Linked DNA regions of Saccharomyces cerevisiae S288C. The main gene of each other region encodes a partner of the protein of the gene in region 2 in a complex. Each region holds a gene or a part of one and is shown on either strand. Other genes may lie near its edges. A codon is read from its position in the direction of its gene.

Region 1 (4,414 bases), on a different chromosome or scaffold from region 2:
AAGTAGCAACTCCCAGCTTTCATCTATGTCATGTAGTGCGCCACCAATTTGCGCCAGAATTTCATCATCAAAGGTCTTCTCATTTGAATTTATTTTTACTATTCCATTGAAAATAGTATCTGGGTTATAATTTTCCATGATAAGATACTGCTTGACAGGAAGAACCTTCATTACGCTCGTTTTTGAAGGTGATACTGCAGAAGATGATGCATTATCGTTGGGCTGGTCTAGCGATATGCCATTAGTGTTCTTCAGTATGAACTGTACTACTTGATCCCTATAACTCATTGGCAGTTCATAACGAGCCAAAAAATTGTCGGCTGCTGTATATGGGTTGTCGCTGACATTAATCGGCAATTTCAAGGGAGGTTTTCCATCTTCAATATCCACATCAAATACGTAGTCATACGTTTTACCCTCGAATTCTATTTTTTTGTCGTTTCCAGTAGCACCTGCACCGACAACATCACCAACCTTTTTCCATGAAGAATTTGAAAATTGATGAGCTTCTATAGTACCTTGAGGTGATTTGACTACCACAATTTGACCCTCTTTGCGCCCCGGCGATTGTAAAATTTCATAAGGTGATAGTTTAGACTCATCAAATTCTATTGTCTTGGAACTTATAGTGGATTTTTCCACTTGCGTAGATAGTTCATTTATTTCATCCTCGGAAGCCCATCTTGACTTCTCTTGCGAAAATATTCTCACAAGATTATCACTACTTCCCACAATAATATCACCATTAGACATACAATCAACGGACCAAATAGAGATGGCAGGAAGTGTAATTACCTGCTTTAACGAACCATTTTCCTTTGACCATATACGGACTGTTCGGTCTTCGCCGCAGCTTACAATATCTCCATTGGGCAGCAGTTTAATGCAATAAACAAAGCTTTCATGGCCTTCATATGTTCTTAGTACGTCACCTGTATGCATATCAACCAACTTGATGAGGCCATCGTTTGAACAACTGATAAAATGGCCATCATCCACCACAGCTAAATGTCTTACTACATCATTGTGAATCCCACTGAAAGTTTTGATCACTTTATCGTTTTGCCACAGTTTAATCGTCTTATCGGCGGAAGCTGTCAAGAATTTATTTTCTGAGAAGGATACGACTTTGGCATCCCATACAGAGGCATTGTGTGCTTGCAAATTGTAAACCAACGATCCTTCTTTCCAAACCTTTGCGGTTTTGTCCCAACTACCGCTTATCACAACACCATCTTGGAAGGATAAACTACAAACGTTCCCTTGGTGGCCAATCAAGGTATACAAGGGATCCTCTCCTGAGGTGGCAAACAAGGGCACACCGTTGATCATAGTATCCTTACCTCCAAAAAGCAACAACTCCTTCTCGGAATCATAACACACACTATTTAAAAATCCTTGTCCTGTATAAACTACCGTACCGAGCCATTGGTCATCTTTAGACCACAAGCGAACTGTTCCATCCCTCGAAACACTAGCAACCTTTGAATCATCCACAGCTACCACATCCCTGACGTCCTGATCGTGCCCTTTAAGTGTTGCACTCAATTGATATCCCATACTCCAAATCTGCTGCTCTACACCTTACTATCACACATGAATATATATATATAAAATAAGCCAAGACAGTGGCCTTCCCTTATTATCAGCGTACTAAAATCTCATATGATTTATTTTTCGTGGTCCTGAACGAGTGTGAAAAATTTTGAAAAACTCGCAAAGGAAATGCCAAGGTCAGCAACTTTCTCGACGTCCAAGCCTCGCTCCTATTGTTTTAGTAACCTGTAGACCTTCAATATTCAAGAGCTTGCACACGCACGCATTGCTGCACTACTGCTTACCCACACTACAAATTTAATTCCAGCTTATTGAAGTTGAAAAGGCAAGGGAAAAATACCACAGGTTTAGATAAGGAAATAGGAGAAAGGATTAGAAACCATATCCCTATAACAGTAACGATAATATTTATATACACGTATATTTTCTCGTCTAGATATGACAGGTCCAATAGTGTACGTTCAAAATGCGGACGGTATCTTCTTCAAGCTTGCTGAGGGCAAAGGAACTAACGATGCTGTTATTCACTTGGCCAATCAAGATCAAGGTGTTCGGGTCCTTGGAGCAGAGGAATTTCCTGTGCAAGGTGAAGTAGTAAAGATTGCGTCCTTGATGGGGTTCATTAAGCTAAAGTTGAACAGGTATGCCATTATCGCAAATACTGTGGAAGAGACCGGTAGATTCAATGGCCACGTTTTCTATAGAGTGTTGCAACATTCTATCGTATCTACCAAGTTTAACTCGAGAATCGATTCTGAAGAAGCCGAATATATCAAGCTACTGGAGTTGCATTTGAAAAATTCCACCTTTTATTTTTCATACACATATGATTTAACAAATTCCTTACAAAGAAATGAAAAGGTTGGTCCTGCAGCCTCCTGGAAAACCGCTGATGAACGATTCTTTTGGAACCATTACTTAACTGAAGATTTGAGAAACTTTGCTCATCAAGATCCTAGAATTGACTCCTTTATACAACCTGTTATCTATGGGTATGCCAAGACAGTGGACGCCGTTTTGAATGCCACCCCTATCGTTCTTGGTTTGATTACCAGACGTAGTATATTTAGGGCGGGCACAAGATACTTCCGTCGTGGTGTTGACAAAGACGGTAACGTTGGCAATTTCAATGAAACTGAGCAAATTTTACTCGCTGAGAATCCAGAGAGTGAAAAAATACACGTTTTCTCCTTCTTACAGACAAGAGGATCTGTGCCAATATACTGGGCTGAAATCAACAACTTGAAGTACAAGCCAAATCTTGTTCTTGGAGAAAACTCATTAGATGCGACAAAAAAGCATTTTGACCAGCAAAAGGAGTTATATGGCGACAACTACTTGGTTAACCTAGTCAACCAAAAGGGCCACGAACTACCCGTGAAAGAGGGCTATGAATCAGTCGTGCACGCGCTAAACGATCCGAAGATTCACTACGTGTATTTTGACTTCCACCATGAATGTCGTAAGATGCAATGGCATAGAGTGAAATTGTTAATTGATCACCTGGAGAAATTAGGTTTATCTAACGAAGATTTCTTCCACAAGGTCATAGACTCTAATGGTAACACCGTTGAAATTGTTAATGAGCAACATTCCGTTGTAAGAACAAACTGTATGGATTGTTTGGACAGAACAAATGTCGTTCAATCTGTTTTAGCCCAGTGGGTTTTGCAAAAGGAGTTTGAAAGTGCCGATGTCGTTGCTACTGGAAGCACTTGGGAAGACAACGCTCCATTGTTAACTTCTTACCAAAACTTATGGGCTGATAATGCAGATGCAGTTAGTGTGGCATATTCGGGCACTGGAGCTTTGAAGACCGATTTCACAAGAACCGGTAAGCGTACACGTCTAGGTGCATTCAACGATTTTTTGAATTCAGCATCACGTTATTACCAGAACAATTGGACTGATGGTCCAAGACAGGATTCATACGATTTATTCCTTGGTGGATTTAGACCACATACCGCTTCTATCAAGTCGCCATTCCCCGACAGAAGACCAGTGTATATTCAGCTGATCCCAATGATCATTTGCGCAGCCTTGACCGTTTTAGGTGCTACGATATTTTTTCCTAAAGATAGATTTACCAGCAGTAAGAATTTGCTGTATTTTGCAGGTGCGTCGATTGTCTTGGCGCTTTCAACCAAATTCATGTTTAAGAACGGTATTCAGTTTGTCAACTGGCCTAAGTTAGTAGACGTTGGGTTCTTGGTCGTTCATCAAACGCATGATAAAGAACAACAATTCAAAGGTTTGAAATATGCACAGAGTCCTAAATTTTCCAAGCCGGATCCTTTAAAAAGAGATTAATGAGTTCTATATGTGATAAAATGATGATTATTGTAAATCCAAAACGTAAAACCGAAAATATGATAAAAACGAGAAAAAAAGTAAGTTAAAAAATAAAAAAATAAAAAAATGAACGCCGGCCCCAGAGGGAAGAACAAGCTATTTATTTTCTTTTTTACTTTATCTTTCATGGTCATATATATATATATATATATATATATATATCTTCTATAGGCTACTATACATGAAGGCGTTCGCCCTTACAACGTTAAGTTTTTTTCCCTATTGTACCGTGTAAGTTTCAATTATTCGCATAATTCATGAATGAACTTCTTCACATCGGTTGATTTCATTAGGGCTTCACCCACTAAAAATCCATGGACACCTTCTTTTTTGTATTTTTCAGCATCGTCCCTGGTGGTAATTCCCGATAGAGCAATTAGAAGAACATCCTTTGGAATAGATTCTACCAAGTTACTGGTGGTATTTAGGTCTACGTTGAATGAATGCAGGTCCCTATTATTGACACCTACAACTTTAGCACCAATTTCTAGAGCCCTTTGTAATT
Region 2 (3,119 bases):
GGACACCAGTATATGGGAAGATGAACAAAAATATGGCAAAGCCTTTAAAGTAAGATGGGTGATCGTGCGTGATATAAATAACAGATCGTTAAAAAGGTTTTTGATACCATCCAATGAAATGAAACCGATAACACATTCCAGAGATACTCAAGAAATTCCATATTCGATTGGAATTTCAATAATTAATCTATTTAAAACTCAAGATTCTGATATTTTCTCCTTCTTGGATGAGACGTATGAATAGACCTTATCCCTCATTTATCAACATTTTATTCTCATTTATTATTAGTATTATTATTATTTTTAATATTATTTTTATTTAAAATTATCCTAAAATTACTTCTACTGTTATAACATCCAATCCATAAGAAGCAAAAACAAAGTTTTCATATTAAGCCATCGTAAAGGTTTAAGGCACCAATAATAGAGGGATCGACTTTAGAACCTTCTCTGAATTCGTCCAGCGTAATGTAACCATCTTCGTTCTTATCCATCAACTTGAAGATCTTCTTTACCCTCATTTCGGGCGTTGCCTCATCCTCATTAAGTGTAACCATAGACCCCATCATTTTATAAACACTCGCCACAATGGTTAGCATTTCATCAAATGTAATATATCCATCATGGTTCAAATCATAAAGTTCGAAAGCCCAGCTCAGTTTTTCCTCCAAAGTTCCTCTGGACGTTGTACTCAAAACTGTGATAAACTCTTCAAAATGTATGAATCCATTGTTGTCTTTATCAAAAACTGTAAAAAGGTGATTAGCAAAATCTTCAGGAGAACCAAATGGAAAAAACTGTTTGTATATCTTAACAAAATCTTCCCTAGCTAGTTGGCCACTAGGGCAATCCCTCAAAAATCCTTTATGCCATTGCTGGATTTCTCTTCTATCAAAATAGGTGGATTGTTTCAAACATGTCAGGTCATCTTTGGAAAGCTTTGACGTCTTGGCTCCCATTTTTTTTTTGAATCAAAAACAGTTTTCAAGCACAAAATAACTCTCGCCGATTCTTAAACTAGCAACAATTATAAAACAGGAGGTAATATCCCTAGTTCATCAGTTCAATCGTTGACAAATTAAACATTATTTCAGTACTCTATGGTATAATAATAAAAAATACACCGAAGAGTTACCCTTTTTTCGTTTTTAATGATCAATTCTGGCTCATTTTTTTACTTCCTGAGCAGTCAACTACTACTGAAAAAAAGAGGCTAATGGGTACGCATTTACCTAAAAACAATTAGATCCCTGCCTTGGATCGTAATCTTGTTTATCTATCCTTTTTGGACATTGACATCTATTTGTGTCGCAGTTAATTGCTTTCTGGGTACGTTGACTTTTTCAGTTCTATATCGGCCCGTTGCTTACTCTGTTCAACTCACTTATTCTTTTGTTTCGGTTTGGGCTGCTGCATTTATAGATTAAAAATAAATTTCAAATTTCCACGCTAACAAATAGAGCTAAATTAGCAGTTTCATTGTTGGCTATATTTTCATTACAACTTTTGATCTGATAACGTAAAAGAATTCAAACAAAAACTATCTAAAAAAATACAAAGCAAAAATCATGTCTACTTTACAACGTCGTAGAGTCAATAGGGCGGATTCTGGAGATACTTCCTCCATTCATTCTTCTGCTAACAATACCAAAGGAGACAAAATCGCAAATATTGCTGTTGACGGGGATGATGACAATGGAACAAACAAAAAGATTGCATATGACCCAGAAGAATCGAAATTGAGAGACAACATCAATATCCCTACGTTAACGTTGATGGAAGAAGTCTTATTGATGGGCTTAAGAGATAGAGAAGGATATTTGTCGTTTTGGAATGATAGTATTTCATATGCTTTGCGTGGTTGTATAATTATAGAATTAGCGTTAAGAGGTAAAATCAGAATCTTAGATGATTCCGCCAGGAAAAGGTTCGATCTTTCCGAAAGGTTGATTGAAGTTATTGACAGTTCCAAAACTGGGGAAGTTTTACTGGATGAAACTTTGCAATTGATGAAAAACGACGAACCTTTGTCAATTTCTAACTGGATTGATCTTTTAAGTGGTGAAACATGGAACCTTTTAAAGATCAACTATCAATTGAAACAAGTAAGGGAAAGATTGGCAAAAGGTTTGGTCGATAAAGGTGTATTGAGAACAGAAATGAAAAATTTCTTTTTGTTTGACATGGCGACACACCCCATTGCAGACGCCAGCTGCAAAGAAGCCATTAAGCGCAGAGTACTTTCTGTACTCGTATCGAGGAACATGGAATTAAGTTACAATGAATATTTTCCGGAGACAACATCTTTCAAAATCATTAGAACTTTAGCTTTAATATGTGGATCATATGGGGCAAACGTATTGGAGAATGTCCTGACTACGTTGGAATATGAGAAGAGAGATAAGGCAATTAGTAGAGCTGAAGAAATAATGGCACAATTTTCGCAATACCCATTTGATTTAGAAAAGGAAACTGAGTTAGGTGTCTCCGTTAATTTAAACAAGGAAGTTAAAGAAGAGATAGAAAACAATCCTGGTCATGATTTACAATTGGAAGTTATTGCTGGTGTATTTGAAGTCTTTTCAAGAATGGATATGCTATTATGAAAATAACAACAAAAATCCTCTCTTTGAAACATAAGGAAAAGTCAAGCTTTTTTTTATAAGCCTCTAACATTAATAAACGAAATTTGTATATATGTATATACATATACGGAGTGGATAATAAATAGACCAAACTTTTTGTTATTATATACGCCCACATTCGTATTCATTGCTTTCTTGAATCCAAATGCTTTAAATATGGAGATAAAAATCCGCCATCGCCATATTTATTCAAGTAATATTTTTTAACTCTCACATCTTGAAATATTGATGGTTTTGATGACACATTAAAGTGCAAGCCTTCATTAAATGCGTTTATCAACGACCTTGACTCATTTGCATAAGCTTCACCACATGACTCCCACCAAAAGCCTCCGCCTAAATTGTTATGTGTCACATATTCAGCCTTAGTTTTGACTGATTTAGTGTTATCATAACTGATAAATATTGAATTTTTTTCATCAAAGCAATATGCTGAAACATATTTTGGATCGTATTGTTCTATTGTACCAATCT

The links.
Region 1: the proteins of VPS74 (region 2) and SAC1 are in contact, whole or in part, in a crystal structure (PDB 4TU3), measured with the Saccharomyces cerevisiae proteins. Residues at the interface, in NP_010660.1 of Saccharomyces cerevisiae: Ser164 (codon at 2,058), Gly165 (codon at 2,061), Glu166 (codon at 2,064), Thr167 (codon at 2,067), Trp168 (codon at 2,070), Asn169 (codon at 2,073), Leu170 (codon at 2,076), Leu171 (codon at 2,079), Lys172 (codon at 2,082), Ile173 (codon at 2,085), Gln176 (codon at 2,094); in NP_012710.1 of Saccharomyces cerevisiae: Gln9 (codon at 2,020), Tyr69 (codon at 2,200), Ile95 (codon at 2,278), Ser97 (codon at 2,284), Thr98 (codon at 2,287), Lys99 (codon at 2,290), Phe100 (codon at 2,293), Asn101 (codon at 2,296), Ser102 (codon at 2,299), Arg103 (codon at 2,302), Ile104 (codon at 2,305), Ile112 (codon at 2,329), Glu116 (codon at 2,341), Lys120 (codon at 2,353).

Annotation. Positions count from the first base shown.
Region 1 is NC_001143.9:32,548-36,961, forward strand, and holds SAC1 (phosphatidylinositol-3-phosphatase SAC1), read left to right. Parts: upstream 1-1,995; coding exon 1,996-3,867; downstream 3,868-4,414. Other genes in the region: DOA1 (Doa1p), read right to left, coding at 1-1,560; TRP3 (bifunctional anthranilate synthase/indole-3-glycerol-phosphate synthase), read right to left, coding at 4,152-4,414. UniProt on the Saccharomyces cerevisiae protein: Phosphoinositide phosphatase which catalyzes the hydrolysis of phosphatidylinositol 3-phosphate (PtdIns(3)P) and phosphatidylinositol 4-phosphate (PtdIns(4)P). Has low activity towards phosphatidylinositol-3,5-bisphosphate (PtdIns(3,5)P2).
Region 2 is NC_001136.10:1,220,599-1,223,717, reverse strand, and holds VPS74 (Vps74p), read left to right. Parts: upstream 1-1,568; coding exon 1,569-2,606; downstream 2,607-3,119. Other genes in the region: PHO92 (mRNA-binding phosphate metabolism regulator), read left to right, coding at 1-244; FRQ1 (frequenin), read right to left, coding at 387-959; CTS2 (putative chitinase), read right to left, coding at 2,770-3,119.